4 linked regions of the Lepisosteus oculatus genome follow. The protein of the gene in region 3 binds, or shares a complex with, the protein of the main gene of each other region. Links are inferred from orthologs where the notes say so. Each region holds a gene or a part of one and is shown on either strand. Other genes may lie near its edges. The genes, in order: ncaph, smc2, ncapd2 and smc4.

Region 1 (7,457 bases), on a different chromosome or scaffold from region 3:
GCACTTCACAGCTTTATCATGCCAGTAGCATTCATAAACATGCAAGTTTATTTAAGGCACTCTCAAAAATATGATGAAGGCTTTCTAGATGCAGCGTACTTTTTTGTTTCCAGATGGAAACAAAAAAATAATCTGAGGAGTACTCACGAGTGCGTTTTGTTTTTCAAGGAATTATCAGTAAATGAGTTTGCCTCACGTTAACAAAGAGAGGAAAAGCTGGAGCTCTTATTGGTGGAACAACCGAGACTTAAGCTGATTCTAAAAACACCTGCACACTGGAGGACTCTAGCTCAGTGGTGCACTGCTCCATTTTTTTAAAAAGAGCAGGTTGGAGGCAGAATTCAATGATCTGTGAACAAAAGCAAAAGTAATCTTCTTCAAACTTTAGTCTTTGAGTTTTATTTTGTGTGTGCTTGAGAATGTATGGTACAGCATGCCAGCAGAAGGAATGCCCAATAAATGTCTGATCCAAAACAGGGGCACACCACCCCCTCTCCTAAACTTTCAAAGCATATATTAACAATGGACTCGAAGCATATTTTGGAAAATTATAATAAAAGCAGTGATGGTAATAACAAACCTCATCATTAACTGTCATTCCCTACCACCCTTCCAAACAAAATAGCCTGGCTGGGTTTTCTGATGGCTTTTCATGTGAAATTATTAATAACCCATTACCCCTTCAGTGAAGCTATCATTCCATGGCCTGTCAGATGCTCAGTACATCAGCAGCTGCTTTTAACTCTCGTCTGCGAGCCACAAAGCAAAATGAGACACACTCCATAAATATTATGCTGAGCCCAACCTGCCTGGAGCAAGCCGGAATTATTATCCTGCATTATGGTGTATTAGAGAACATTACAGATCCCCCCCTCCTAAGGGTCATGATGATGTCTTTTCCCCATATACTCCAGTGCAATTTCTGGTGCTGGAGGGGATCTCATTCACAAATAACCTGGCAGTTTTAACACTCCTATACAGAATACACAAAAATATAAGAACACTGTATGGGCAGCAAATGAGAAGGCCCATCATGCCCACTTGGGTCCTAGTAGCTAATGCATTCACAAATTTAATTCTGCCGTACAAGATCCCAGAGTGTCTGCTCCAACAGCTTGTCAAAACTGCCTGTTCCAGACACCCACCACTCATCTCAGTAATTACCTGACTAAGGGACGCAACAGAGCCAGGTGTGTTTATTCTGACATCTTGTGAACCACTATTATCCCATACACAGGCCATTCAACTAATCGTTTGACTTGTTGCTTCTTTCATCTATTACAGTATGTGCCCCACAGCTTAGATTTCAAAGCTGATTTTGAAACGTGTGGGACAATTAGCATTGCACTGTTGTCTAAACATACTTTAATGTACTTTACCCATCTCTGGTAATTATTTTCATCCCTTCTTAAAAGAATTGTGGAGAAGCCCTTCTGTAACAGCAGAAAGAATAACAAGGAATCCTACTGAATTGGTACGTGGTACTTTTTTCAACAAATTATCAGGTGTTGCTTAGTGCTTCTTGAGGTTATTAAAAAGGTCTTCTCTTTCAGAAAGCTAGTTGATTCAAATTCACTTTAGATCATTTAAAAATGTTGCATAAAAATTATCAAATGTTAATAACTGAGTTTCAGACTTACTGTATGTAAAGAACATTGAACTCTTGTGTTAATACAGCTTGGTATCATTCTGCTTCCAGAAACGACAGAACTGAACATTCAGAATAAACTAAATAGGCAACTGTTTTGGAAAACTGTATTGCATGTTTTCTCCCACCTATAGGCAATGATGCATAATTGCACGTAATTTTCCAAGCAGCCAGGACAGCTAACAGGTAGGTTCCATCCACAGTCAAAACGTAACCTACCTGTAGTGGCATCAAAGCTAACATCAGGCATGATTACATTTCAACCTAAAGTACACTTTTTCTTAGAAGCAGAAATCAATCACATTTTCAGATTTTTTTGTAATTCTTTCTATATAAAATAATGTAAATATAAATAAAGGTATATTAGATGTATCGAATGCAAAAAAATGATATTTCACATAATTAGTAATTGGGGCACATTTATACATCTCCCAATCCCGTTACCCCCTCGACACCATCAAATCCACTAATCTTGCTGGACCCACCCTTTCGGGACTTGAAAGACACTCTGCTAAAATAATTCTTTCTGGCAACCCAGTGCTCTGCACTCCCCCCGCTGCCAATATCTCCAGTTGTGACAAAATTGAAAATTCCCTCAGGCTTTCAGTCAGAAAAATTCAAATTGAGGAGACCTCACCAGGTGCAATTCTAAGTCTTTTAAGGAAATGGAAAAGTTGAAAGTTGGCTTGGTTAAAAAAACACAACATGCCTTCTGAATCCCAGAGCGTAATTGGGCCCACTGGGGCATGCAGGTAAATATGGCTGGAGGATCAGTGCTCGGAGAGGGGCTGTGTATGTAATTAAAAGCTGCGCTTGCACAGGGCTGTGTTCTCAGGCCAGTGAAAAGCCTACAGTGGCTGAACACTCACATTGTCCAGTGTTGCTGCAGGACCTGGGGACTTATCCTACACTCCCTTCCAGGTCAGATATGGCCAGCAGCCATATCACTCTGCAACTCACAACTGGCAACCCACTGAAGCTCAGCAGGTGTAAGCCTGGCCAGTACCTGGATGGGAGACCTCCTGGGAAAACTAAGGTTGCTGCTGGAAGAGGTGTTAGTGGAGCCAGCAGGGGGCGCTCACCCTGTGGTCCATGTGGGTCCTAATGCCCCAGTATGGTGACGGGGACACTATACTGTAAACAGGCGCCGTCCTTTGGATGGGATGTAAAACCGAGGTCATTAAAAATCCCAGGGTCTTGAAAAGAGTAGGGGTGTAACCCCGGAATCCTGGCCAAACTTCCCATTGGCCCTTACCAATAATCCCCATCTATGAATTGGCTTCATTACTCTGCTCTCCTCCCCACTGAGAGCTGGTGTGTGATAAGTGTTCTGGCGCACTATGGCTGCTGTTGCATCATCCAGGTGGATGCTGCACATTGGTGGTGGTGGAGGGGAGTCCCCGTTACCTGTAAAGTGCTTTGAGTGGACTGTCCAGAAAAGTGCTATATGAGTGTAAGCAATTATTAATAATTATTATTAGATTCCCAAAGGACCACTATTTACACGCTGCCTCTTCTGTCAGACTCAAGCACGCGTGTCTCATGCTGCTTACACAATTCAGTAATGAAAACTTATCACATATAATCATCTCAACTGATGATAGCTGGGATGTCAGGTTATGCAAATCTGTCATGGTGTTAGTGGTGTTAGTGGGGCCAGCAGGGGGCGCTCACCCTGTGGTCCATGTGGGTCCTAATGCCCCAGTATAGTGATGGGGACACTATACTGTAAACAGGCGCCGTCCTTCGGATGAGACGTAAAACCGAGGTCCTGACTCTCTGTGGTCATTAAAAATCCCAGGGCTCTTCTCGAAAAGAGTAGGGGTGTACCCCGGTGTCCTGGCCAAATTTCCAATTGGCCCTTACTAATCATGGCCTCCTAATAATCCCCCTCTATGAATTGGCTACATTACTCCGCTCTCCTCCCCACTGATAGCTGATGTGTGGTGAGCGTTCTGGCGCACTATGGCTGCCGTCGCATCATCCAGGTGGATGCTGCACATTGGTGGTGGTGGAGGGGAGTCCCCATTACCTGTAAAGCGCTTTGAGTGGAGTGTCCAGAAAAGCGCTATATAAGTGTAAGCAATTATTATTATTATTATTGTCATGTTAACAGTACCTAACACCTAGTGTAGTCTAAAATCTAATTAGGTTCTCTAAGAGGAAAACAAGCTAACTGCTGTCGTTACTAATACATCTAGAACTATTATACCATATAATAGTTAATATTATACCTGGATAATATTATACAGATATAGATAATATTACACCGGGGTTCCCATCAAGGTCGTAAGCGATTTATCTGGTTAAATAAAGGATTAGGTAAACATCCGCACACCATTTTATCGCGCTATTTCTTATAAAATATCTAGGGAAGGGAAAATGTGCACTATAAATAGCGCCAGGGCCTCCTTTGTACAATATTTCCTGCATTTACTAATAGCACAAAACCTACAGCCCACCCACTTGCCTACAGAGCAGGAAACTCAAATGAGAACCGTGTTTTTGACTATACGTGATGACGTTTTACGATCGCGCCGATGTGCGTGCGCATGCGTAATTGTGTCGGCGCAAATTTTCAAAAAGTGAGGACTGAGCAATCTTAAGTAACATCGTATAACATATTATCCATCATATTCACAAACAGTTTATTGGTGGTGTTTTTTGGGGTTTTTAAATCTTGTTATTTTTAGTGTTGGCTTATATAGCCTTCGGTTAAACAGGATCTAGATCACGGTAAGGCTTTTTAAAGTTTTTTTTTCTGATCCCGGTGCGTGATCTGAATTGTGTTAATACAAAACAGTAATTGGAATTTAAAATCAGAGCTATATAACTTAAATATAGCTCCAATAAATATGTATCTGGGATAACAATATTTTTTCTCAACAATTTGGAAGTTATGTGCTCGTAAAAATTGGTTTCAGAGGAGAAATTTCGGTGATGTTTCGAGTTATTTACATCTCGGCAAAACCAGTAAATATGACGCGATCGCTTATAAAACTGCAAGTAATGTACGCACGGTTATGTGCGCTCGTTACGTTAAAATTATATTTATAATGTATCTCGATTATCCAGTAGAATTGTTAATACAGCAGTAGAAACCACCACAGACCAAAACAAACATCGCACTCCGGATGTTTCGCCTCTTCTGTCCCTGGGCGACTCTCTATTGTAACAGTCAGGCCGGTGTGTCCTAACCTCAGTTGTATTTTAACTGTCCATAACAGTGTTCTTACTGGGGTTGAATAATAGTGTAATTCCTTATTAGGTTGACTTTTATAGAAAATGACTCACAGAAGTTACATTTACCTGTTTTTAAAGGTGGACTTGCTGAAATAATCTGGTTAAAGTACTTTATACAGTACTTAATCCCTACTCCACTCTTAATTGTACAATGCTACCTATGATTTCAACAGGAAGTCGGTCGAAAATTAAAGCTTGTGCTTCATAATGCATTCTGAGTATTTGTACTGTTCTAGCTGTTTGTGTAACAGAGCTTGACTAATTGTAATTATTGCTCAGTTGAACAGACAGACAAGGACATGTTGTCGTAAAAGTATAAAAGTGCTAACTGTACTGTGACGAAGAGCCATCCATAAAATGGAGGAAACACTGACTTTGTAGCTAGACCTTGTATATCATGCAAAAAGCTCATAGATATTCCAAGGATGAGGAAATATTCTAGTAGAGTTCTACTTATGCTAGATTTGTTCATTGTAATATGGGCTGGATCTGTATGTTAAGCGCTGTCTGAGGGATGGTCTGTACTACTATACTACTATTACTACTACTACTAATTATTATTATTATTATTTATTACTCTACTCAAAGCTCTTTATGGGTAATGGGGACTCCCCTCCATTACCACCAGTGTGCAGCCCCACCTGGATGATGCGACGGCAGCCATAGTGCGCCAGAACGATCCCCTCACATCAGCTATGAGTGGGGAGGAGGACAGAGTGATGAAGCCAATTCAGAGATGGGGATTGTTAAATATGAAGTTGCATGCGTACCTCATTCTTATTGCCAGCTTCGGGGTTGTCTAAGAGTGCTGTTCTGTGCCATCTCTCTCTCCGAGGCAGCCTGTGCCGCGATGAGTGCCTCCTCCACCCCCCGCCTGGGCATGCGCTCCCACGTCCTCACGGAGATGCTGCCCGGGAAGCAGTTCGTCTCGCCCTCCACCCGTGCCAAGGTGGTGCAGGTCGCCCACCAGCCGCTGCTCAACAGCTGCCCCAGCAACGATGACGACCTGGAGAAGAGGCAGAGGCGGCGCTCCAAGGTCATCGACCTGCACATGAGCGGCCTGGATGGCTCGCTGCTGGATTCCCCTGCGCGCAGGTCAGCCGGGGGCTTACAGCCAGGCCACAGAGTTTCATGAGCATGTGTTTCCCTGTGTGACTGTGGGTGGCAAGGTGGCACATTACAGTAGATTTCCTGTAGGGCTCTCCTGCTTAAATACCTCCAAGATCCTTTTTTATTTATTTAAGCGAGTGGCACGGTGGCGCAGTGGTTAACATTTCTGCCTCACAGTTTCCAGGGAGCTATCAGTGTGAAGTTCGTATGTTTTCTCCGTGTTTGCCTGGATGTCCTCCTGGTGCTCCACTTTCCTCACACAGCCCAAAGACGTGTTGGTAGGTTAATTGGCTTCTGGGAAAACTGGCCCTGGTGTGTGTGTGTGTTTGTGTCTGTGCGTGCCCTGTGATGGATTGACATCCTGTCCAGGGTGTTTTCTGTCTTGTGCCCCTTGCTTGCTGGGATAGGCTCCAGCTTCGGCACCCCCACGACTCTGTTTTGCATGAAGTGGTTAGAAAAGGGATGGAAAGCCTGAGCTTCTTGAAGCAGTGGTATCGCACGTCAGTTATACTGTCCATCATTGTAGGATTAGCAGTTAGAATTGTTCTCAGTGTGGAGTTCTGGGGGAATCCCAGAAAAACAAAGGGAAAGTTCTCTCTTACATCAGTGAACCTTCACATACAGATGGGCTTTCAGAAAAGCAGAAAAAGGTGTAGATAGATAGATAGATACTTTATTGATCCCGTGAGGGAAATTGCAGTGCAACAGCAGCTTAACACACACAACACAGCCACAGTGTAACGAATTATATACTAATAGTACAATACATACAATACAATACAATACAATACAAGAGTTACTCACAGTCCGGACACACAAGAGGAAACTAGAACAGAACAGTACACAGAAAATCGTATCACACGTATGAATATAAATATAGATGTAACCATAGATGTAACCAATAGATGTAACCAATATAAATGTATTGCACAGGTCCCTGGCATATATTGCACAAAAGTGGTTGTCAATGGGAAAAAGAAAAAGAAAGAGAACAGAGGTAGCGCTGCTCTTTGAACATTGCATGCAGGGATCCAGTGTATATAGCCTCACTCAGCAGCCTGATCAAAAGATCAAAGAGATCTCCTGGGGAGACAGATTGGTGTCCAGACCCTTTGTCTTTCTGATATATTTCTGAGCCTCTCAGATGTGTACAAGGTTTTTAAAGCAAAATGAATTTGCAACAGAAATTTTCTTCTTTGGTTTCTCCAGCATGTTCATGTTAGGGGTTTATGTTGTGGTAAAATTCTGTTCTGTTTCTCGGAATGTGTTCAGTGGTACAGGTACTCCAGCTGCAGTGCCCAAACTGTCCAATTCCGAGATCTCTGAGCACTATTCCACCTGCATCAAGCTTTCTACGGAGAATGTGAGTAGAGAGTCACTGATGATTTGCTTGTTTTCACAGGTTCTTATGGCAGTGAGGGCCACTATGTTCACTTAAAGGAAATCTCCCTTAATG
Region 2 (8,064 bases), on a different chromosome or scaffold from region 3:
CTGGAATTGAGTCCAGGGCCTCAGCACTGCGAGGCACCGAAGCTAACCACAGTGCTGCCCACACTTCAGCTCCTACTGTATATACAATATTTCAGTTCTGAGCAATTTTTAACTTATTTCCTGCAAAGCACCGCATAAAATATTTTCCTATCAGGAAGGACTTATAAAAGAAAACATTGGCCCACACAACCCGAGTTTCCATAAGGATTTTGCTCTCCTAAAAGCCATGAGTCTCTCTTTATACTCCAAAACGAACAATCAAAAAGCGAAGAGTGAGCTACAGCACCTGGTCTCTCTTGTCCTCCAGCCGAGCAATTTCCTGAGAGAGCTCCTTCACTTTCTTCTCATTGTCTGCCATCTTCTCCCGCAGCTTGACTGTGCCATCCTCCAGCACCTTCAGCTCTGCAGCCGACTTGGCTTTGGTTTCCTCGGCGCACACAAATTGATAGGCCACATACAGGCGAGTAAGATGCTCCATTTCCTTCAACACCTTCTGATACTCAAAGTACGATGATCGTTCCTACGAAACAAAGGCTTAGAAGTGGGTCTCAGGCCATGTACCTCTTAACTTGTCTTTTTCAAAACAGCCACTTTTTTTCCTGTTGTGAAAACATATACAAATGGGCATAATGATTCATCAATGATTCCAAACTTCTTTCACTGTTGTCATTTTTAAAAGATCCGCGTTTTAAGAAATACCTAGAAAAATAAACAAACCACCAGGAGTGCTACAGATTACAACCTACCAATGGGAAAAACACAATTCTGGACCACCCCATAACCTGGTAGGACTTACCTCCTTCAGCTTCTCTAGAGTTGGTGTGATCTCTTCTCTTAACACCTGTCGAAAAACACAAATATGTGGTTATTACTGTTACCATTCAGCCAGAATGAAATGAAGCTCTGCACACTGACAATGATACCGTACCGTCTGGATCTCTTTTAGCTTGCCCTCCTTCTTTTCAATAGTTTTCTGCGCACCCATCTTTTTGATCTCATACATCCTGGTGCCTGCTGCTTCTTCAATCATTGCCAGGATCTAAATAAAGAATACTCATCAATCCCAAAGACTAGGGGTACTACAGTACTACATCACACCATATTCCATGTTTTCAATGTTCATTTATAGCCACAATCTCTATTTATAATCTTATTGGCAATCGTCTTTACTTCATCCCCAGTTTAGTTTAGCAAAACCAGTTTTGTGCCCTCTGGGTATATACTTTTGATATCATTAAACTACAACTTCCTGTCAATATTGTACTGTATGTGTTGAATAACTATCTCAGGAGGGAAAAGTCTCAGCAGATAAGATATTAGCAAAAAGGGGCTCGCTTAATTTTTTATTTAGTCATTTTAGGGGTTTTAAAAACGAAAAAAATCCAAGGCAAGTTTGAGGGCATCATGTGACAAGCTAAATAGAACACCAATAACACACTATCGCCTCCAGTCTCCTATTCATTTATAAAATACACACTTGGGGATTTGTTACTTTCTGAAAAGTTATAAACTGGGTTCAAGAATGCTATTTCCTTTTTTCCATTTTTTATGGCGTTTTCAAACATAAAAATACTTTAATTCCTCATTGACATCAGTTCAGTTCCTACAGACCTACAGAACAATTAATGCAAAACTCTACCTAAATCAGTATAAAATGCTGCTATCCGGTTACAGTACATTAGATTAACTGAAATGTTTATTTAGTTACACTTTCATAAACAACACTGTCTTCTGTCCAGAAATGTTAAGGTACAATAACAAATATTTGTGGGTTGTTTTCTCATGGGTCTCTCCTGTGAAATATTTTAACGTGCAGATTTCTGCTCAGAGGAAAAAAAAGATGGTGGAGCTCATTCTGATTCCCTGAAGGGAAGAGATGCATAAGAAAGCAGCAGAGCTGACTTACCTCCTGGGGTTTCATGTTCAAAACTTTCGTAATTCTGCCCTGAAAAAATCAAAAGTGGTCCCAAGTTACTCGACACAAACATACCTTAACACAAACTATGCGTTTACAAGCAATTCCGCGCACATGTTAAGAAATTGCGCGTTAAAAATTCATCCTTCAAAGCAGGTCTTGAGATAAAATTCAAAACGATTCATAACAGGGACGTACAGGTATAGCTATCAATTATGCTCACCTGCATAATCAGAAAATGAGGATTGTTGACATTGAGCCCAACGGAGCAGAACAAGTCTTGTACCCGGTTGTTGTTGGCATTTACCCCATTTATGAGGTATTTGTTTCTCCCACCAATGACCACCTTTAAAATAGACGGGGGGGAAAAAGCACTCAATACAAATCTCATTTATTAAACGAATGCAATGCATTCTGAAAAAAAAATGAAACATACCAGAACTGCAGTCCGGGCTAATGATAAAAACAAATACCTGACGCGTAACAGTGATTTCGTCGTGGGTCTCAAACCCAAGGGGACTTTGCTTCTTGTCAGAGTTGTCAAACGTAATGGAAACAGAGGCCTTAGTGATCCCAGCTTGACCGTTTTTGTAGACCAGATCCTGAAGATTGGACGCTCGCACCTAAACGAGATTTCCAGGGATGATCTTTCGGTGACATTTATAATATATAACGTACTCCCGGTTTCCCCCCGCATGCCTAGGGACTAGCATAAAACACGAATTCATACTGCATCGGGGTGGGGGGGAACACACCGAAAAAAAAAAGTGAACCGCACAGTAAAAACTAGCACTGCTCACAAGCTAGTGCAAAGCGTACGGGCACCCGGCGCTACCTGAGTCAGGTTGGAAATCCCGAGCAGGAAACAGATGGAGTCCAGGATATTGGACTTGCCACTGCCGTTCAGACCGGTGATAGCGTTGAACAACGGGTCAAAGCCATTGATCTCCGTTCTCTGGGCGTAGGATTTGAAGCCTTCTAAGATGATAGATTTGATGTACATCTTCGTTTCAACGTTTTACAAATTCAACTCCCCGATGAACTTCATCCGCAGCTACAGGAAAGTTGTATTCTAGTGTCACCTCCCGAAGCCTTGTTTCAGCTCTCGATTACCTGGGATGAGGTGAAAAAAGGCATAAACGGTTGCTGTTATACATTCGCTTTCAAAACTGCGTTTATTTTTACCCAAAACGTGAATACATACCTCACACAATAACAAAACGCCACTGTTCCCTTACTCTTCCTGTGTTCAGCGAACTTGAATTTTGGCGGCAGGCAGCGCTGGTCCTCTTTGGTGTTCGATGCGCCTGAAATAATTTGAAAAGCGGTGTAGTATTACAGGTTTGATTCCTTTAATGTATTAAGTTAGAGATATATATTTTTTTCATTATACTGTGTCTTCCTAAAAAAATTTTTTTTTAAAAATTGAAATTCAACCATTGTTTCATTCAGGCATTATTTTGCCAGCTAAAAGGAAAATATTTGACGTCAGGTTGGCGTAGGAAGAGTCACTGCTGATTGGTTGTTTTGAGTTGATTGTCCCGCCTGCGTAGCGCTTTGAAAACAGAAAAGAGAGAAACCGATCAGTTATATATAGTGCTTCTATTATGCTACTTTGTTAATGTCGTATGGTTTTAAACAATAAATGGCATGTTTATTTGCATAATATGATTGGGGGGCAGCTTTAAAGGAATTCTCTGTAATTTAGTTAAAAATATATAATATAGCTGCGGAGTACGATACATACATAATTGTTGTAATGCGGCACAATAAGGACAAACACATTTTTGTTCGAAGCACTTCTCTGTTTCAGTTAAGGCAAAAAGACATGCCGCTTCAAATACCTCAGTTTGCTCTACGGTTGTGGTTAAGGGGGAAAAGTCCTCATTTCTCTGAAGGATCCGCACCCCTGGCTGTTAAGGGAAACCTTTGTTACCCTAATTTCTACCTCGTCTGCGCATATTTCTCAGCCTGACATTAACATCACCTGTATTTCAGTTTAGGTTCCAGTGAAATGAAGAAATGAGTGAACATTTTTATACCGTATTCGTATTAAATATCTATATCAGTCCCGTACAGGTGGTTGATGTCATTCAGTGGCGTTCACCGTTTACAACGTGGAAACTGCAGTCCTCCCTGTGCCATTTTGGCTCCGATTACTCGTGCTCATCAAGGTTGGGTGTAGACGACGATTGGAGCCAACATGGGACCAGTTTCCTTTCTTGTTTTTGTTAATATTATTTACCTGTATTAAGATTAACGTTTTTTTAATATTGAATTCGGGTTCTCGGGCTTCTGCCCTCACATGGGCTGGAACCCGGGTCTTGCCGGCTGAGCTAAAGAAGACTTTCTTTAGCCCGGGCGGCCAACATCACTGTAATGCGCAGGGGCGTATCCTTTGCTATGTACTTTAATGTTGGCTGTATGTGGGCATTTTTTCCATTCTATTGTAAAGGTTCAATGTTCTGCACGGGGTTATGTGAACTGTAATGATATTTAATTGTAATGATCTTAATGTTTAAGCTGTTCAGTATCATTTTCAGTCTGTGCAAAATACGATAAGCTAATTATATATTACAATATAAATCCTTATCCTAGAACCTTAATTTTAAAAAAGGCACTTTTCCTCAAATGGTTCACTAGTGTGAGTACATTGCTCCTTTCATCCAAGCTACAGGTTTTGTTTAATCTTTGCAAGTGTTTTACAGTCGCAGACTTTATTACAGAAATCTGTTGGCACATGAAATACAGAAGAAAACAGCCACTGTGTGGCAGCAGTACATTACAGTTGTGTAGCACATATTATTCTTTCGTAGAAATTGATTCTGTTTTGTTAAATGTCTTACAAGGGAATCAAACCGGATCTTACAGTGATGTTTTCTGGTGCACAATTACCCTGTTGGGAAAACTAATTTCATTTTCCATCTGTCTGCGTTATGCATTTTAAAACAGGAAATGACTAAGTTTATTCTTTAATCTCTAGAGCAGCAATATTCTTTGTCCAGCATTGATAACAATACTGAACACTATTGACTTCTTAAATTTCTATTTCTATAATGTATACATATAACTTTACTCTCCTTGATAACTTTCTTTATCATTTTCAACTGGGTACTTTGTATTGTGTCTTAATGATTATTTGTCATTTGGCCGTTTTCTATTGGTCTGCATCAACTGAGATAAACTGAGCAACTATGATCTACGCATGGCAATTTATGGTGACTGATATGTTAATACGACATATATGTGACATTTTTTTTACCCTACTTTAATTTCTGAAGAGAATATCCAACGCATCACCAGGACGGCTTTCTTTTGTCTTTGTAACGTTGCTCAGTTATATTAAGTTCTGTCAGTGCCAAAATTCAGTGGGTTCAGAACACAGCAACTGACTGAGTACTGACTGGGTCTGACTTTGTCAAACCCTCTGTCTTGACATTCCTGTTGAATTTCATATAGATGCCAAGATATCACTCTTGTTTTTTAAGGCCCAGAAGGGAGTACCACACCGTTATATTTCTGACCTCCTAAGAAGGGTACCCCGAGCCTGGTGCGGGTCTGTAGTTTACCCCTTCTTAGAGGTTATGAGTTGCTGTCCATAGAGCCTTTTCCTTCTGTGCACCTAGGTTACTGTATGTCCTACTCTTCCCAAGAAATCAGGAATTTGGAGGAAAAGAAAAATAAATCAGAAAAAGAACTGGCAACCAGACAGTCATCTCGATTTCCCTATTTTGCCAAATTTCATCCTGGTGGCACAAATGTTTAAAACCATACACTGTAGAGTGAAAGGACCAAACACTTGGAGTGCAGAAGCAGTTTGTGTCTTTGGCTGTTTCCTTGTCACTGTTTAATTGGTGTTGAATGTCTAAGTTTCAAGGTAATGTTGTTTATACAGGACTAAATAACGGAAGCAATTGTCTGGCAGCCACCTTGACTTATGCAGGTACTGTACTTTATTTTCTCCTTTGTTCATCCTGCATAAACAAATCCTGTTACTAGTGTTATACTGTACCTATAAAGTTTAGAGTTAATTAGTCGAAAGCTTTTTGTAGCAGAGGAGCTGTTATTATACAGTAGGTCTTGTCTCTCCAACCATGCAATCACTCAGTGGGAAGCTAGAAAGAATTGGTGCAGTCTGTGAAGTACACTTTTGAAGAAGATCCGCATGTAATTAAATCCTCCATGTCTCGAGTCATTTGGTATATCAATTCTTAGACAATGGTCATTTACATTTTGCAGACCAACTTATTCAGGCAGCCATTGTGATTAACATACTGTAGAGCACCATAAATGAATTGTCCTGTCACATCTCACCAAGCTAGTGGATCAGTGTAAGCAGCAGAAACACTCAACAGTCTTTGCAACAGTTAAGGTGCAAATGAGAAACTGCTTTTTTTTTTTAAATCTTCCTAATTTAATTTAAGATGGTTTTGCAAAAGGAAATTGCAAAAAACTTTGCTGTGACTCAGTTAATAGATTGTATCTGGTTGGAAGTAAAGTTAAGAGTCAGACCTTATTGAATAAAATACTGCTACAAGACTGTTTAAATCTGCTGAATTTCTGACACTGCCTCATTTGAAACGTACTAATACCCATTTTTATTTTGTTTCTATGACACATTTTAGCATTTTGAAAAAATATAAAAAATGTGTGAATGAATTAACCAGTTTTGATCTGATGTTTTCATTTAGAAGCTCTTTAATACAGTATAGTACTGTGGATTAAATGTAGACAATGTGGATGTTTTGCAAAACCACACTGATTAACACATTTTTTAAAGTTCCATCTGTTCATTTAACTTCACTTATATGTTTTCTTCTGCCTGCCTTACACAAATTATGGGTAATTAAACAGAATCATTTAAATTCACAAAAATGTACTTGCTTCTCTGTTGTTCAAGTATAATCTTTTCTTTTCAATATTAACACACCTGGGTGAATTTAGGATTATTGCATGCACAATATTTGACCCAACAACCCAAAATACAACTAAATATCTAAACATTCCAGGAAAATCTGCATTGTTGGGATGAAGTTTCCATTTAGGAATATTTATGTTGCTGTGAATACTGTGAAACTAATGTTAAGTAACATTTTCATCATGAGATGGCCTGAGAAAGTGTGGTGATTCACTTCATAAATGTGTACCTTTGGGTGTTACATTACCGGAGAAGCAGATCTAAACACCTCTTTGTTACAGATTGGCTCCGTAGTCCGTCTCGGGTGTTGTGTTTAGACTCCTTGTGAAGCGGCAAGAGCTGAAGGAAGCGGGAGACGTACTGTAGTTCGGGGAAAACACACAGTGGTTTAATAGTGCAACAAAGTAACTGTGACAGTTCGTGAAATGGTGAGCAGGGAAACAAAGACTGGCGTCCAAATCCAAGCAGGTCCGAAGGAGGGTCAGGGCACAATCCATGAGTCCAAAACCGGGAGACCCAGCCTGAGACGACACAAGGTTCAAATCCTTGTGAGTGGGAAAACACGAACATACTGTACATATCCAGGGATAACGGGGAGAGGTCAGGCGATGTCGGGGATGAGGCCTATACCCTCAGGCATCCAAATGCTAATACTGAGCACTGGAGGGAGATAAAAGAAGGCACACCTGGAGAATGCATTTCACTGTTCATTCTGAAGAATCCACTGGGTTAATTCTGCCAGTGCCACTGAGGACCTTGAACACTTGTATAGGGCCTCCTTGTAGTTTTCTCTGTTAAAGTATAAAAGGGTTCTGGTTGCTCTTCTCTGAACTGATTCCAGAGAAGCAATATCATAATATCTTTTCTATAACGTTGTGACCACAGGTGTCTACTACCCACCCCCATACCCTCTCTCAACAACCAGACAAGCTTCCGTTTTGTTGTTTTGTTTTGTTGGGGAACATGGAAACATGGAAACCCCTGCAGAGACACTGACTCTCACAGACATGACTTGACAACCCCTGACATACTGTAGAGACACCAACAAACCTAATCAGAATCTCTCTGGGAGGTGGAAGCGAACAGGAAGACCTGGAGAAAACCACACAGGCACAGGGAGAACATGCCTCCCAGAGGACTACCAGGCAGGAATTAAACCCAGGACACTAGCGCTATTGAGAGATCACTTTATTTGCCTCATACAATTTCTTGTATTAGGAATTTGACTTCT
Region 3 (7,709 bases):
CCCTCCCATCTCTACAGCTCCTCCCCTGCTTCTACAGCCCCTCCCACTCCTCTCCCTCCCATCTCTACAGCTCCTCCCCTGCTTCTACAGCCCCTCCCACTCCTGCCCCTCCAGTCCCCCCCCCGCTCTCCAGCCTGTCCCCTCCTCTCCCTGCCCCTCCCTCACCATTTTCCTCGGGGTTTAGTAGTCAGTCCCACACAGGCGAAGTGGAACCACTCAATGGAGCACTGCAACATGAACACACATTGCACCACACCGCGCTGTTAATTCACATCCTGCACAACCCAGCACAGTAATTCACCACGACAAAGAGACATCACCGCCCTGCGCTGTTAATACTGACAAGACGCACAATGCCCTGCCCACAGTGACACTACACCTAATACTACCAACATGCTTCGCAAGCCAAATAGTGAAACAACACACATCACGCACAACCATGGAGACGCACAGAGGACATACAGACGCACGATTGGACACTCACGTCGGTGTTGTCACAGCCGATCATTTCTCCGTATGAAACCTGGTGACAGAGGCAGTACGTGGGCTCGTTGGGGTCCACAGGCATGTCCAGTACATCAGAGGGGTGAACGTTCCCAAAATTCACGGAGGGGGTGCTGTATTCTCCCCTGAAAGTCGGAGAGAGAGAGAGAGAGAGGGGTTTAATCAGAAAAGGGTGTAAACACTGCACAGAGAGACAGCACAGCAAACAGACAGAACTTCATTCCACGGAGAACGTAGCAAAGACGAAGATGGGGAGACAGGCAGAGATGCAGACAAAAGATTGAGATGGAGGGTAACAAGGAGAGTGAGAAGTGAGGACAGACAAAAAAAAATGTGGGTGAGACACTGACGTGTGGATCAGTTTGACTTTCTTCTGGCCATTCTTGGGGCTGCTGTCGTCGTCCGAGTTCTTGACCTTCGACCTCGTCCGGGCCACTTTCTTTTCCTTCGGCCCCCGAGACTCCGCTGGGAGAGAGGGACAGAAAGTCGTCAGCCGCGGAGCCCAGGGCGAGGGTGACCCGTGCACCCCCACCACCACCAGAGAAGGCAAACCAGGATCGCCGGGGGCGCCCGGCTGGACCCCAGGCAATACCAGCACGTCCCGGCCACTCACTCTTCTTGCCCTTGCTGGACGCGGAGTCGTAGTCGGTGCTCTCGATCTGCTTCTCCTTCAGGTCCGCCTCGAAGCGCGCCAGGTCGGTGTCCAGTCGCCGGATGTGCTTGTCCACCTGCGAGGGGGCAGGTGGTGGTCAGACCGTGTCACATCAGGCCTCCCTGACAGTGCAGTATGTTAACGGGCACAAAGTAATGCAGGACACGCCAGGACATCCAGTCTGGGTCACGTCGCTTTTGTGACCAGGGTTCGAGTCAGCAAGGGGCGCCCCCCTCCTCCAATGGGCACAAGCTCTCCTGTGGGGCTGGCGGAGTGTCCCAGGAGGAGTGGCGTGAGAGCAGCGCGTCCACATGAGTCCTTCTCACAGAAGGGCTCCATCGCTCACGAGGCGAGAGCTGAAAACCGGCGTTTCCAAATCGGGAGTTTGATTTTTTTTTAAAAAGAGCAATTCCCAACCCTGAAAAGAAAACGTAAAAGTAACGGCGTGCTGCGAGTCTTCTTCCTCTGCTTTGGCCTTCTGGGAATTGCAATGGGGTGGTAGAGCAAGCAACCAAAACTACAGAACAGCAAAATTACCTGGTTGTATTTTTTCAGCTCTGACTGGAGGAGTGGTGCAGCTCTCCATGACAACACTGAGAGCCCCACAGTGCCCACAGCACCGTCACTGACTGGAGGAGTGGTGCAGCTCTCCATGACAAACCTGAGAGCCCCAAAGTGCCCACAGCACAGTCACACTGACTGGAGGAGTGGTGCAGCTCTCCATGACAACACTGAGAGCCCCACAGTGCCCACAGCACAGTCACACTGACTGGAGGAGTGGTGCAGCTCTCCATGACAAACCTGAGAGCCCCACAGTGCCCACAGCACAGTCACACTGACTGGAGGAGTGGTGCAGCTCTCCATGACAAACCTGAGAGCCCCACAGTGCCCACAGCACCGTCACAGTGACTGTGAATGGTACAGATCTCATTAACTCACTGAGAGTGCCCAAAACAGAGTTTTCCCCAGCATAAAATGTCCAGGAAGCCAAACTTCACAGCTGTGTCAGGCTCATGGGTTCCAGCAATTTTTAAATGATACAGAACCAGGACCAGGGCTCAGAACTACGCCAGTTTCCTAATCAAAACACGTGGGGCAGCGCCGGCGGCTGGGGGTGAACTCACCATCTCGTACGTCTGCATGGCCAGCTGAACTTTGTCGTCCCCGAACTCCTTGCACTTGCTGTAGGACTGCTGGATCTGGCGCAGCAGGGAGAGCTTCTGCTCTGAGGACAAGGTGCGCGCGTTGGCTGTGTATTCTCGTGCCAGGCCATCGATCTGCCCCTTCAGGTCTGAGGAGGGAGGGGACAGAGCAAGGGAAGAGGCAGGGAGAGGAAAAAGAAGTGAGGAGAAAGACACGAGAGGCCGAGATTACAGAATGGTTTATATCACCCATGTAGGTCAACATACATGGGGATACAGTGGTCCTTATAGTCTGCTGCTCCCCTCCACCACTAGCATTACATCACATAGGAATATGCTGCACTTTAAGTATAAACTATTTATGTTTGTTCTTATAGTCACAGACTATGTTTACTGCAGCTGCCTAAATACAGTACTAGACTACCATTAGGATGTGGTTTTCCAAAGGGTGTCAAACCCAATCCTTGATATTTTGGAAGGGCTGTAAATGCATATTTGCTTTAGTAAGGATTTCTGAGAGTGCATCCCCTCTCTGGAACCCAGTGTGGTAGTGTCTGTTCTCCCCGTGTGTCCAATCCTCTCTCCTGCTCTGCTATACGCTCTCTCCCCACCCCCACCTCTCGCTGGTACCTTCAGTCCGCTGGTCCAGGTCTCTCATCAGCTGGAAGTTCCTCTGCAACTCAAAGGGCAGATTCTCAATACCTGCAGGAAAAAATTAATAATTACAGCTGCAGTGCCGGTATCCAGCTCCTAGTGTACAGTAATGGGAGTACCGTGTTGCATTCAGACTCCGAGTGCACAGCAGGGTAATCCACTCCAGGTTTTACAGTACTCATGTTCTGATCAGAAACAAATTACACTGTATATCTGAAATGTTGCGGACACCACGAGCTCAAGGCAGAGACTTCGGTTTGCGCAGAACAAGCTCTCTATGATATTCTGTCCATCTTTTAACTGCTTCTTCCAGTTGAAGGTTGTGGGGGAGCTGGTGCCTATCCTGGCAAGCAATGGGCACAAGGCAAGGTACACCCTGGACAGGATGCCAACCCATCGCAGGGCACACACACCAGGGCCAGTTTTCCCAGGAGCCAATGAACTGAGGGAGGAAACCAGAGCCCCTGGATGTAACCCATGCAAAAACATGGAGAACATACAAACTCCACACAGACAGCATCCCAGGAATAGTCCTGGTAGCAGTGCAATGTGAGGTAGCAATGCAAACCCCTGCGTCTATACTCGCCTACTTTTATTTTAACAATTTCAAAAACAATGACTGAAAATGAATCTGATAAACATTTTCAGCTCTTCTGCACGCCTGCCATGGCGTGAGTTACGCACTACAGTCCTTGTATGTCTATCAGCTAATCGCTTTCACATTTCCTGTATGTCTGAATGTTCCACAAAAGTCCTGCATTTTGCTCTAACGCTGACAACTTTAAAGAAGACCGATTACTTCTAATGCGTGAACTCCACGTTAAACAGCGGAGATTGGTGGTCTGTTTAAAGAAGCCAGCTAAATCATCAACGTTCAGACTGTTATTGCTCTCCTTTTCAGTACTTTCTTTATCAATAAGCCCCATATGGATTTTAAAACGCATTGCTCAATTTCAAACTATAAATCGGCGACTCATTTGTCCACATATTGACATAAACTACATCAGTAATTGTAAACACATCTACCGTTATACACTAATGCACATTGTAAATAAATCGTTCCATGGGCAAAAACCATTCACTCCTCATGATGTCCTTTCTAATAAAACAAGAACAGCCATTTATTCCAAAACAGCATACCATTTGAAATTGCATTTGATCACAATATCCCCGTTTGGATTTTCAAATGCTGTACAACCCACACATCCAAACTGCGCTTCAACTGGAAAACCACAATACGAGGTACAAAAAACCAAACTACAAGGACTTTTAACCATGGAAGATTTTTCTTCTGCATTAAGTATCCGAGGGATACTTCCAAATAATCGATTTTCTCAGAAAGGGATAATGATAGTTATCACTTACTGTCCAAATAATGCTCCAAATACATCCCAGCCGCCATCTTGACAAGCTGCAAACAAAATAAAGGCGCTTCCGGTCCGGCCGGATATAGAGCCGAGAGAGAGGGTTGCGGGTGAGGTGGTTGAAATCTTTTTTTCTTCCCCCTCCTCCTCTCGACGTTAATTTTTAGGTTATTTTACAGCGGACCAGAATATCTTGAATATTTTATTTTGCCTGTTACATCGCATTTTCACGCAGAACTAAAAATGTTGTTGAAAACAAATATTGAGGACGGCTTTAATTTTTATGGAAATTGCTCATTGCTGCCTACCTCCTGCAGTTCGGCTCCCATCCACAAACGTGACGCTACTAACTGCACAGTACCGGTGATGAGTATTTACAGAAGTTCATTGCACAAAATCATCGATCTTTTGTGTATGTTTCATGAACTACACTGTTGTTTACTTTGTATTAATTGATATGGGGTGGGGGGACGGATATATCGCAATGTACTATAAATCTTAAAGTAACTGCAAATTGTTTTGAAACATCTGCTATTTATTTATTTTCACAAAGAAAACTGATATGTTAGCAATAAATTCAACGTTTCCGAACAACTATCATTATATTGTGTTTTTTAGCCGTTTAATTTAGGACCTAGGACCTAGATTAAATTTAGATTAAAGATCTAGATTAAAGTTAATAATAGATAACTTTTTTTTCTAGATCTTCAAAACGTTCAAAAATAATCGGTGGTATTGTTTAAGGCTGTAAATCTGCAATGGTAGAAATCTTATCTTTTATGGTGAATTTACACATAAAACCCTAAAACGTGCATCGGTGTGTAAGCATTCAAATCTATTTTTTAATTCATTAACAAAACCAAACAGTTTCTGCAGATGTGTATCGAACGGTGTAATGTATTACGCGTCTACGTTTTCACCGCGTCTTGCTTTTTATTCCGTTTTTTTGTGAAAGCTAGAAAAAAAACTATTTAAGATGAGACAACAGCAGCAGTATTGGCTATCGGTGCTTTGCGGTGGCTGAATTTGTTTTCCTCCATCAGCCTCGTTTTCAATCAGACATGGCCGCCGCGGTGAAAGGGCTCTATTCCCTCAGCCTATGCTGGGAGCACGTGGACGGAAGTCGCCGCAGCCATTGGCGCGGGAGAAAATTCAAAAAATGTCCCGGCTGCCGACTAACCGCTGTTAGCCGACTAGCCGCTGCCTGGCCTGGAGGTTTACAGGTAACGTTTGTTTTAAATACGTTGTTTCAGTCGGCTAAACCCGTAAGAAAAACGGGGTTAAAACGTTTACTTCTCGCTTTTAAATTTATTTTTATACTTTGTTTACCAGGCGTCTTATGCGAGTCTCAGGGAGCGAAGCCGAGCAGTTAGTGGGAAGCGAGTGAACATTTGCCGTTTTGAAGGAAACTCTCTGGGGCCCCAGAGAAAATTACAGAAACCTCAATAAGAAAACCGAAGCGCTGCGGTAAGTCGGATTTCTTTGTTTCTTGAGATATATATATATATTTTGCTGGCGTCGTAATAGTATGGTATCGTCAGAGCTGGTGGCTGTGTGATGTCTTTCGTCCGTCTCTCCGCCTTTTCTTCAGGTTATGACTCCGTTTTGGACCCGATGGAGTCTAATTATTTTAATGAACTTAATAATAAATATTATAAGCTGGCTCCAGAAAGTTTTTATAGGTGCCAGTACGTTAAGGAAAGCAACGTTAGGGGGTCATCAGCTTCCTGTGTTTGTCAATATAAATGTAAGGGTCAAGTTGACGATTTGGGTTAGCCCAAAAAGCAGATTAGCCTCTTACTTGATCCAAGAAGTTGCTTCAATTCTCGATTTACGTTTTGTTCCTAATCTCAAATTTGTTATTTTATGTCACTTAGAAAATACAAGGGTTAAAGCTCCAACGACAATAATAATAATGGTTCCTTACGTTTATATAGTGTTTTTATGAGCACTCCACTGAAAGTGCTTTACAGGTCATGGGGATCCCCTGCAACACCAGTGTGCAGCCCCACCTGGATGATGTTCCAGTACTCTCCCCACACACCAGCTCTCAGTGGGGAGGAGAGCAGAGTGGTGAAGCCAGTTCAGAGATGGGGATTACCAGGGAGAAATTTAGCGTCAGGGTAACAGCCTACTCTTTTTGAGAAACACCCTGGGATTTTTAATGACCACGGAGAGTCTGGACTTTGGTTTCATGTCTCAGCCGAAGGACGGCGCCTTTTTTACAGTATAGTGTCCCCATCACTATACTGGGACATTAGGACCCACATAGACTGTAGGATTTGTGCTGATTTCTGGTCCCACATGTTTAAGCTCTGGAAACAAACGGTTCAAATCAATCTTATTAAGTGAATGAAGGGACTGATTGTGTGACCGGGGACTCGGCTGGAACAAAAACCCACAGGTGTGTGGATCGCCAGGACTGGGAACCGGTACTCTAGGTCCTCCGGGAACTGGGTGACCCCTGTGGTTTGAGCTCAGGTTTATTAACCCTTCTCGCTTTTTGTTGCTCTCTCCGCCCCTCGTTCACACTCGATCCAGTTCTCCATCTGAGCCGCTGCTGTGCGTTTCCGCGCGCTCTGTGCCCACACTCGCAGGCGGCCATGTCCCAGTTCGACTTCTGTATCCCGCTCTGCCTGGGGGACCTGGTGAAGACGGGGGCGATCAACCAGTATGTGGTCCAGGACGTCCTGTCCCCCAAGCAGCTGGCCGGCCATGTCCAGAGTGAGTATGGAGAGGGAGGTGCACACCCGGCTATACATATGACTGGATTCAAAGTCTCTCATGGGCTTGTTAAGCCTGAGAGGTGGCTCCACGTGCTCGTTGGTGGGGTGGCTCTTTATTTCTGTTGCACAGTGTGTTCTGTTTTATGCAGTCTCTGGAGAGCCATTTCAGTGCTGATTGGTTTGCGATGCAGTTTCCCCTTTGTGTTGGCGAGTGCCTTGCACTCTCCCTGCAGGTTATGTTGTAGGACTGCCCTTCCTGCGGAAGCCAAAATGTCAGGTTGGGTGATTGTGGCAGAAAGGTTAGCAGCATCACTGCCTTTGTGACTTAATCTCCGAATCTAACCGTGAAAAGGCCTTCCAGTATGGCAATTTGGCCACAAGTACATCTCTGCTCTGCTTTCTTCCCTGTCTGTTATACAATGTGTATTTCAATGTTTATGTAGTTCAGTGGCTGCTCTACAAAGGTACTGCTCTGACTTCAGTCTTCCATCACACACCAGGAAAACAGGCACAAATTCTTCCTTTCTTCGTGTGATGTTGGGTAAAGATCAAGTAAATGTCTGATGACTGCTGCAAAAAGGTTTTTTTTTATATGATGAGATCTAGCGCAGAGCAGCTATCCCATGTTCTTCTGACATTATGGGGGCTGTCCTGCTCTTGTGATGGT
Region 4 (7,528 bases), on a different chromosome or scaffold from region 3:
CTTATTTTAAGACCACCTATGAACACAGCGAGGGTGGTCTTAGTACATGTTATACTGTACACTTCAAAGTGTGCATCAGACTTCTCATCTGCCACAGAATGAATTTCTGGTCAATGAAGCGTGTTTTTAACTTCTTTAAGTTGAAAAGAGTAAAGGACTTTTACAGCAGAATTAAAGACCTGAGTCCTCATTTGTATAGTCAATTGTTTTATGTGTGTATCTCTACAGTCTATCAATATGGCAGACTCACAGAAAAATAAATCCAGCCTACTGTTTATTCCCAGTACCATATATATGACTTAAAATACTTAAAATATTAAATTAACATTAAACTCCACCCAAGTTAAACTTGTATGACATATATCCACAGCAATCATTTACGATCTGATTTAACTGTAATGTTATTATCTAATTACACAAAAGTTCAAAAAAGAACATACGATAAAACATAATCGTACTTATATTAGGAGGACAAATTTAATCTTAATCTTGTTTCAAAATATTTTTTTAGGTGAGAATTTTTAAGATTCATCAGCATACGCACTTGGGATATTTATGTAAATGACAATAAAAGTTAAACTTAAAACAAAGTCAGTATTGAAATCTAATATCTCTCACTAGTTATTAAACTTCTAAGCAACAGTGGCCAATTATGGTTGTACAGATTTTTGTTTTCTTCATAAATTTCAAATTGGCTCTCTTTAAAAACCGGGAAATTAAGGCAATCTAAAATTTGTTAAACTCAGTGGGGCAGATAAGGCAATCGCTATAGAACCCAAACTTTGGTGGTGCATCAAGCGAGATGGCACCCTGACCTGTGTACTGTGTGCACTGAATGAACTGAAACTGTGCTTCAGATCTGTGCTTCATTAGTTACTGGGGAAATGTTTATGACCTTTTTATCAATAGAATGATACTTAATGTGGGACGAATATAGTAGGAAAGTATCATTATGGTGACAATAAAATGATTATTATAACACTGTAATCATCATAAATAACTCTGGCCGCCATTTTGTCAGCCTGCAGCACAGTCTGAATTGACACATGGCAGACTTCATTGACTTCCAGATCTTCTTCAGATCTGCATCTCACAAGTTGCTGAGACAACTATTACATCCCTACCTATTACAAGGTCAGCAACATTTTGTCAAAACACAGAACATATTTCAAACTTCTACTACTTAAAAAATATGGCTGCCCAATGAACTCTATACTTGCCAAGTATCACTCCAGTAATAGTACAATTTCAATATGGCAAAATGGGGTTCCTGTATAAACCAGGATGAGCTGATTTCCATTTTGTTAACAACAATGGCCCATATTGCCCACAGTGCAAACTTATTTTCGAAAACTGTTCGATCATTTACCTCCAAACGTAACAGTAAGGGTGGGCGATATGTTTAAAAAATCTATACCACAATATTTAAATGGTACAGAATATACACATCATGATATTGCGTAATGTTTATCAAGGTTCGGTAGTATTGCAACCTTATTGTAATTGGGTACTCGGAACAGAGAATGAATGGAAATCATGGTACATGGATTTTTTTTAAAAGTAATGGCAATATTTTCTCAGAATATTAATGATGAAATCTAAGTTAATAAGACATTATAAGCTTCAGTTCTCGTTCACTATTCCCCCACGTTTGGGACAGGCATTGACATTGGCAGTGTCCTGGGGTGATGCTATAAACAAGGTAGTAAACAGAAAGACAGCTACAGTATACCAGCGCAGGACCATTCCAAAGGAAAGGCAGTATTTGCCTGAGGACAGCATTGTAAAGGGCAGGAAATGTGTTTGCTTTAATCTATGTCAGCATTCCAGCTTCCAGTCAAACATTTTATGTTATAAAATACATCCTCATGGTTAAGGCACAGTACAAGTAGATTGGAGGAATGGTATATAAAGCAGATGGTAATGATTGATGAGCACAATTATTTATGTGAGTTAATAGATTATAGACGTGATATAATTCAAAACACTGTACTGTAAATTCCTGGAAATTACACAAAATAAGTCAAGAAGCTGGTATTAACACAAGCAGCAACTGAAATTTCCAAAGTAAACGACAATCTTGGGTTATCAGAAGGTGATTTAAGAATATATAAGAAAGAAGAGAAAGGGGTTCTATTTTAAAGGATGCTTCATTTGAATTCCGTTATGTGATATACATCACCATATTGCCCAAACTTACTTGGCAGACATCAATTCTAGTGACCATGCAGTTACAACATGATGAAATAAGGCTCCACTGTAAATTAATATGGTCTCCTGATCGCTTTTTTTATCAATATTCGAACCGCCCCAGTCTTGGGGAAAAAAACTTCACAGACTGAATTGAAACTTGGGAGATTTCATCAATACCCAAATCTGATACTTATCTAGGAAGAAACTAACATATCCCCCACTCATTACATGGGTAATTGATTTCTAATGTTTGTAAAAAACACTTTTCTTCCTCACACTATAAACAACTTTAACAATGTCACATCTCAAACTAAATCAGAAACTGGCTGTATGATTTTTTACGTTGAACAACAAAGTTAGTTTGAATTTTAGGACTCTATATTATTATTCTGTTAATTAACTGGTAACTTCTGGAGCGATACAGAAAGGAAGAATCCTATCAATAATCGGAAATCCTTAAATCCTACATTGGATTTTTAAATACATTTCAAGTACGTGCTTTGGAAGAAAATGTCAGGAACAAAATAGCATAGTTATGGTTAGTTTTATTCTTTACAGCGTTCGTTACATATGTTTAAAGGATATGTTTAGGCTCCTTCAAGATTGATGTCTTTAATCTCATGGTAGCGATTTATTAGAAGCCCGTGTCACTTGTATACTCAGGACCTATTGGGAGAGGATTAAGCAAAATAAAAAGAAAAGAAACAGCTATTATCTCATCATAGGTGTCTTTATTACAGGAAAACATAACCGTCCACAGCTCCAATAAATTGCAGAAAATTAAAGATTAAGCACCTGGTCTACATTTTATATTTTTATGTCTGTTTCCTGTTATTTTACGGTTGCACGTGTGGGATTTTTCTTCAGGTTCAATACATACAGTTAACGTTTACATGGTTTATAAACGTTTATACTTCACACTCTTTGTTAAAATGCCACGTTAAAACATCTTGAAGGTTTATTTAAAGTGAGAACAGGGTGTCGGTAAACTGCAGTAACGTCCGGTAAACACAAGCAATAAAATGAAGATAATAATAATGGCGTGCATGCATGTATTAAAGAACAGCTCAAAGTTGAAAAGTGAAATTTGGGCATATTTAGGAATGTGTGCTCCCAGATTTTCTAAGTATTTATTATGTAAATTACGTTGTGAAAAACAACGTGAATTGTAAACCACAAGTGGGTATATATAACTTTACGTATGTTATCGACCCGCTGTCATTGATGCATAAAAAATATCTGTTGATATATTCATTTGCAGAATAATAAAAACAAGCATCCCGTTGCTAGGGCAATGAAACTTCCTGGAATATTTGTAAAACAGTACCAAACACAACTTAATATTATAAAGTCATATCTAAAAACTCCATTTATTTTAGTATGCCAATCGACAATTTTCACGGGTTAAGGAAAAAATACATGTGTACTGCACAAATTTCATTAGACTACGGAAAAACTTACCAGTCTTCTCTGGTTGAGCCGTCTTGACTGTATCGCGAGACTAGACACCCCGTTTCTTTGGCAACGAACCAAGCAACAGAACGGAAGGAGGAAAAGTGTCTTTTAAAATAGAAATAACAAACCTAATGTTATATAAAAATGATTTTCTGCGATTGTGAATTAAAAAAGACCAACGTAAAAACAGACATTAATAATATGTATGTCAAAACTCCTCCCCCGCCGCTCTCCCGGTTTCTAGGCAACAGACCTAAGACGTAATGACAGATAAGTCGAAAATATATTGTAATTAAGTCCGTTGTTATTTTTATCTCGCCATTCAAGGGTGTTCGCACGGGGTTTGTAAGTTAAATGATGGGACTGACCTTGAAAAATCTTTAACAAGGGTGTTTATGAAAACGGTCAAGAGCTGGCTTCGGCCCCCTTTTTTTTTAAATTTCTTATTTTCTCGCCCGGCGCAGTTCCCAGGATGCCTCGCGCCGGTTTGTAACGAATTTCGGTTTGACTTCAGCTTTTCGGCGCCATTTTCGAGTGAGGAGCTGCGCTGGGAGTTGGGAGTGGGGATGAGAAGAGACTGATATTTTACACATTTGGGCTCTTTTTCTGTTGGCCTCCTTCCCTGGATTGCGTTAAAAACCTCTTGAAAAATACGGAAAAAAATTAGGACACCGATCTGAGGTACTTGGGTTTCTTTGTGACGTACAGTTAAGGGTAAACGCTGTTAGAGCAAGAATATTTTTAGCGGGACGGATTCTAGCAGACTTGACGGACCGGTGAGGAGGAGGAGGGGGGTTATTTGTAAACACATTTGAAGGACGACTCTTACAGTGCTTGCTAAAAGAAAGCGTTTATCTGGTGACTGAAAATTACTCTAAAGCTTTGCTCCGGCCGAATTCACATAGCTGTTAGCTTTTCAGTTTCTTCGCATCTCACACTTGTTCGTGCCTGTAGCTGTGAATGTTAGTTGTTTTTTTTTTTTACTTTCAGTTATCACTAAATGTTTATCTTGTCGGATTAAGCTAGTACTTTCTAATAACTCGTCAATCGGAGACCCTGGCAGTGAATTTATTTTATATCTGTGATTTCATGTATGTTAATGTTGCTTTCGTTGCATTGTTGTTGATGTTCCGAAGATTTTTTTTTAATTGAGTTTTTGGGGAACTTGATTTTTTTTGGGGGGGTTTCCAAGACTTTCTAAATCATTGACGTATTTGTATTAAAAAAAATACAAAAATAAATATTGACGATACACCCGTGTCGATAGATGAAGTCACAGTAGCGGTAACGGGGGTCGCTTTCGTTTGGACAGCCGTTTTGTGAGGTAGCACTTGCGTGTTTCGAGTATCGAAAATGAAGGAAAAAAAATCAACCGTTTCATTTGATTTTCCCCGTTGGTGGAGATGGTGGATCCATTGCGCGACAGAACTAAAACATTTTTACTACGATTCGAATCTGACCAATCAAAATTAACTTTTCTTCAACGCGTGCTAGAGAAAAGCCCACGATTGGCCGCCTGGAAACCTACGGGACTTGCATTTTGTTTGCAAAGATAAACTTGTAATTCTGGCTGTTGTGTGTTAGTAATGTGCGCTCCGGAGTCTCTGTTAAAGACGTCACGGGTTTTTTTTTCCTTCTTGTTATGTGGGGGTAACGTGACGCGGTGCCTGATGCGTGCAATCCAGTTATCAGTCCACTTCTTATTAAATGAAATCAGAAGAAAATATCTGCCGACGAATCAACTTCCTTTCCTGCAAATTTGTGGATGCGGCTAGATCATAGGATACACCATGCTGGGTTTTTTTTATGTTCAGGATGTTTTCCCCTTCAAAAAAAAGGATAATGTTGCTCTTTTAAGTGTGATGTGCACTGGTAGCCCTACCTAAGGTCTTCGGCCGAAAATGCGGGTTCCGTGGTCCTTTGAGACGGATTATCGTGAAATGCCCCCTTTGAGGGCTGACGAAGGAACTTGACAAGTGGAGAAGCGTTGCGATGGAGATCTGTCCTCCCTTCTCTTGGGGATTTGTTCTGATGTGAGATCTCCCCCTCCAGATTATAGCAATGCCCTCCAAAACGACAAAAAGCTCAACTGCTGCCCAGCCGAAAGGCAAAGGGGCGCAGCCCCAGGATGAGTCCGCGGACGAGATGGAAGTACCCCCTGGAGAACCCAACTCAGATGGCAGTGTAGCACCACAGAAGAAGGGTGAGTTACACTGCACTGCACTGCACTGGGGAGAAGGGAGTTGCTGGGCGGCTAAAAAGCACTTTTTAATGCACGGATCTGAGGAGTTGGGCATAGCAGTGTTGAATGATACAGTATTGTGATGTCCAAACTGTTTCCACGGACAGTCTCTTGATTTATTGGTGCTTCGTGTACTTTAGGTTCAAAGTTACCGGAGAGATGACAAGTTTAATTTTTTTTCCTGGAGTTCTTTCATGAACGACGTTTGTTGATTTTTTTACCCCCCACCTTTATCTGGTATTTGACAAGTAGAAATTTCGTGATGTCAGGAGTGGGTTACTGATGACCGAGTACTTTTCGATACTTTTCGATCCCTGTGTTTTAAGAGGAGGAAAGTTGGGAATTGGTCTTTCAGGGCAGAAACAATGATGTCCGTACCAGTGCATTGTCTTTCTTGTTAGTAATAACTTATGTAAGGTCTGAAGAGCTTGCAATCAGACGTTTGTTGAAATCGCAACGGTGTGTAATTTTTAAACAGCAAATCTTGCTATCCAAATTAGTTTGAAACTGTGCTTGACGTTTGTAAGAGTTTTATATTGAACATTTCTCGTGAAGACAATTAAAATGTTAATATTGTAAAAAAAAAATGCGCTTGAATGGTTGATTTCCAGCAATGTTATATCGACGAATGTTTAAAAGCGCACTGACTGAATTTGCACTTAGGATTTAACTTCCGATGTTTTTCGTTGTCTTTGTTCTGCCAGTGTGACCAGAACGGCGGTTGGCTTTCCCGCACCCCCACTCACGACACCAGTGTTGCTTGAAACTGAACTTTTAATGTCCACTTTTCAACTTAGATGCAGGTCCCGGAGCGACAGCAGACGCGGTTGATAATCGAAGTTTAGAGGAGATTTTGAGTAGCATCCCTCCTCCCCCACCCCCAGCAATGACCAATGAACCGGGGGCTCCTCGTCTGATGATAACTCACATTGTTAATCGCAACTTTAAATCATACGCTGGTGAACAGATCCTGGGGCCTTTTCATAAGGTAAAGACATGTAAAGAGAGTTGTAAATGCAGGGTATCAGATGGGAAATTAGAGAGCTCACTTTGCATTAAGTGTCCACTTTCTAGGTATAACAGTTTCCTAGCAGTTTTGGTCTCCAGAACCTTCTAAAAATGTATGTAACTAATATCTCTGGGTGGGAAATTTTGAGTGTTAAGTACAAATTCTGTCTTAATTTTATGTTGAGAAGGGGACTTATTTTATAAAATTGTTAAAATTCATAAACTATTTAAAGTTTCCTGTATATGCTTGCTTTGGAAAATAAAATGAACACAACTAGTGTGTTTTAGACAGTGGTGTATTTTCTTTTCTTTTGGATTTTCTTCCAGTTGTTCAGTAGAATGAAGTTTGCTTGTTAATCTCTTCATTGACATTCAACAGTTTCCTCACTACTGTGCATTTGTTTTAAAAAAAAACTTGTTTCTAAAACAATTCAATGGTTTTGTTTTCTTCCCTCAGCGCTTTTCCTGCATTATTGGTCCAAACGGCAGTGGAAAATCCAATGTGATAGATTCAATGCTTTTCGTATTTGGATACAGGGCCCAAAAGATCAGATCCAAAAAACTTTCAGTGCTCATTCACAATTCAGATAAACATAAAGATATACAATGTTGCACTGTGGAAGTTCACTT

What was found.
Region 1: ncapd2 (region 3) and ncaph share a complex: the UniProt entries of both Homo sapiens proteins name them as parts of the condensin complex. The link is inferred for Lepisosteus oculatus from reciprocal best matches to the Homo sapiens genes NCAPD2 and NCAPH.
Region 2: ncapd2 (region 3) and smc2 share a complex: the UniProt entries of both Homo sapiens proteins name them as parts of the condensin complex. The link is inferred for Lepisosteus oculatus from reciprocal best matches to the Homo sapiens genes NCAPD2 and SMC2.
Region 4: ncapd2 (region 3) and smc4 share a complex: the UniProt entries of both Homo sapiens proteins name them as parts of the condensin complex. The link is inferred for Lepisosteus oculatus from reciprocal best matches to the Homo sapiens genes NCAPD2 and SMC4.

Annotation. Positions count from the first base shown.
Region 1 is NC_090697.1:68,556,996-68,564,452, forward strand, and holds the start of ncaph (condensin complex subunit 2), read left to right. Parts: upstream 1-4,191; 5' UTR 4,192-4,384; intron 4,385-5,726; exon of another isoform or gene 5,727-5,730; 5' UTR 5,731-5,741; coding exon 5,742-5,986; intron 5,987-7,273; coding exon 7,274-7,364; intron 7,365-7,457. UniProt on the Homo sapiens protein: Regulatory subunit of the condensin complex, a complex required for conversion of interphase chromatin into mitotic-like condense chromosomes.
Region 2 is NC_090696.1:71,822,020-71,830,083, forward strand, and holds the start of smc2 (structural maintenance of chromosomes protein 2), read right to left. Parts: upstream 3,260-8,064; 5' UTR 3,120-3,259; intron 3,029-3,119; 5' UTR 2,919-3,028; coding exon 2,751-2,918; intron 2,539-2,750; coding exon 2,389-2,538; intron 2,262-2,388; coding exon 2,139-2,261; intron 1,946-2,138; coding exon 1,907-1,945; intron 1,040-1,906; coding exon 929-1,039; intron 842-928; coding exon 797-841; intron 521-796; coding exon 287-520; intron 1-286. UniProt on the Homo sapiens protein: Central component of the condensin complex, a complex required for conversion of interphase chromatin into mitotic-like condense chromosomes.
Region 3 is NC_090718.1:3,616,518-3,624,226, forward strand, and holds the start of ncapd2 (condensin complex subunit 1), read left to right. Parts: upstream 1-4,554; 5' UTR 4,555-4,728; intron 4,729-5,359; 5' UTR 5,360-5,539; intron 5,540-5,648; 5' UTR 5,649-5,783; intron 5,784-6,857; 5' UTR 6,858-6,919; coding exon 6,920-7,040; intron 7,041-7,709. Other genes in the region: ing4 (inhibitor of growth protein 4), read right to left, coding at 166-227, 485-629, 855-969, 1,118-1,232, 2,281-2,447, 2,929-3,000, 4,318-4,354. UniProt on the Homo sapiens protein: Regulatory subunit of the condensin complex, a complex required for conversion of interphase chromatin into mitotic-like condense chromosomes.
Region 4 is NC_090708.1:6,028,502-6,036,029, reverse strand, and holds the start of smc4 (structural maintenance of chromosomes protein 4), read left to right. Parts: upstream 1-4,179; 5' UTR 4,180-4,329; intron 4,330-5,700; 5' UTR 5,701-5,709; coding exon 5,710-5,851; intron 5,852-6,687; coding exon 6,688-6,878; intron 6,879-7,355; coding exon 7,356-7,528. Other genes in the region: ift80 (intraflagellar transport protein 80 homolog), read right to left, coding at 2,781-2,815. UniProt on the Homo sapiens protein: Central component of the condensin complex, a complex required for conversion of interphase chromatin into mitotic-like condense chromosomes.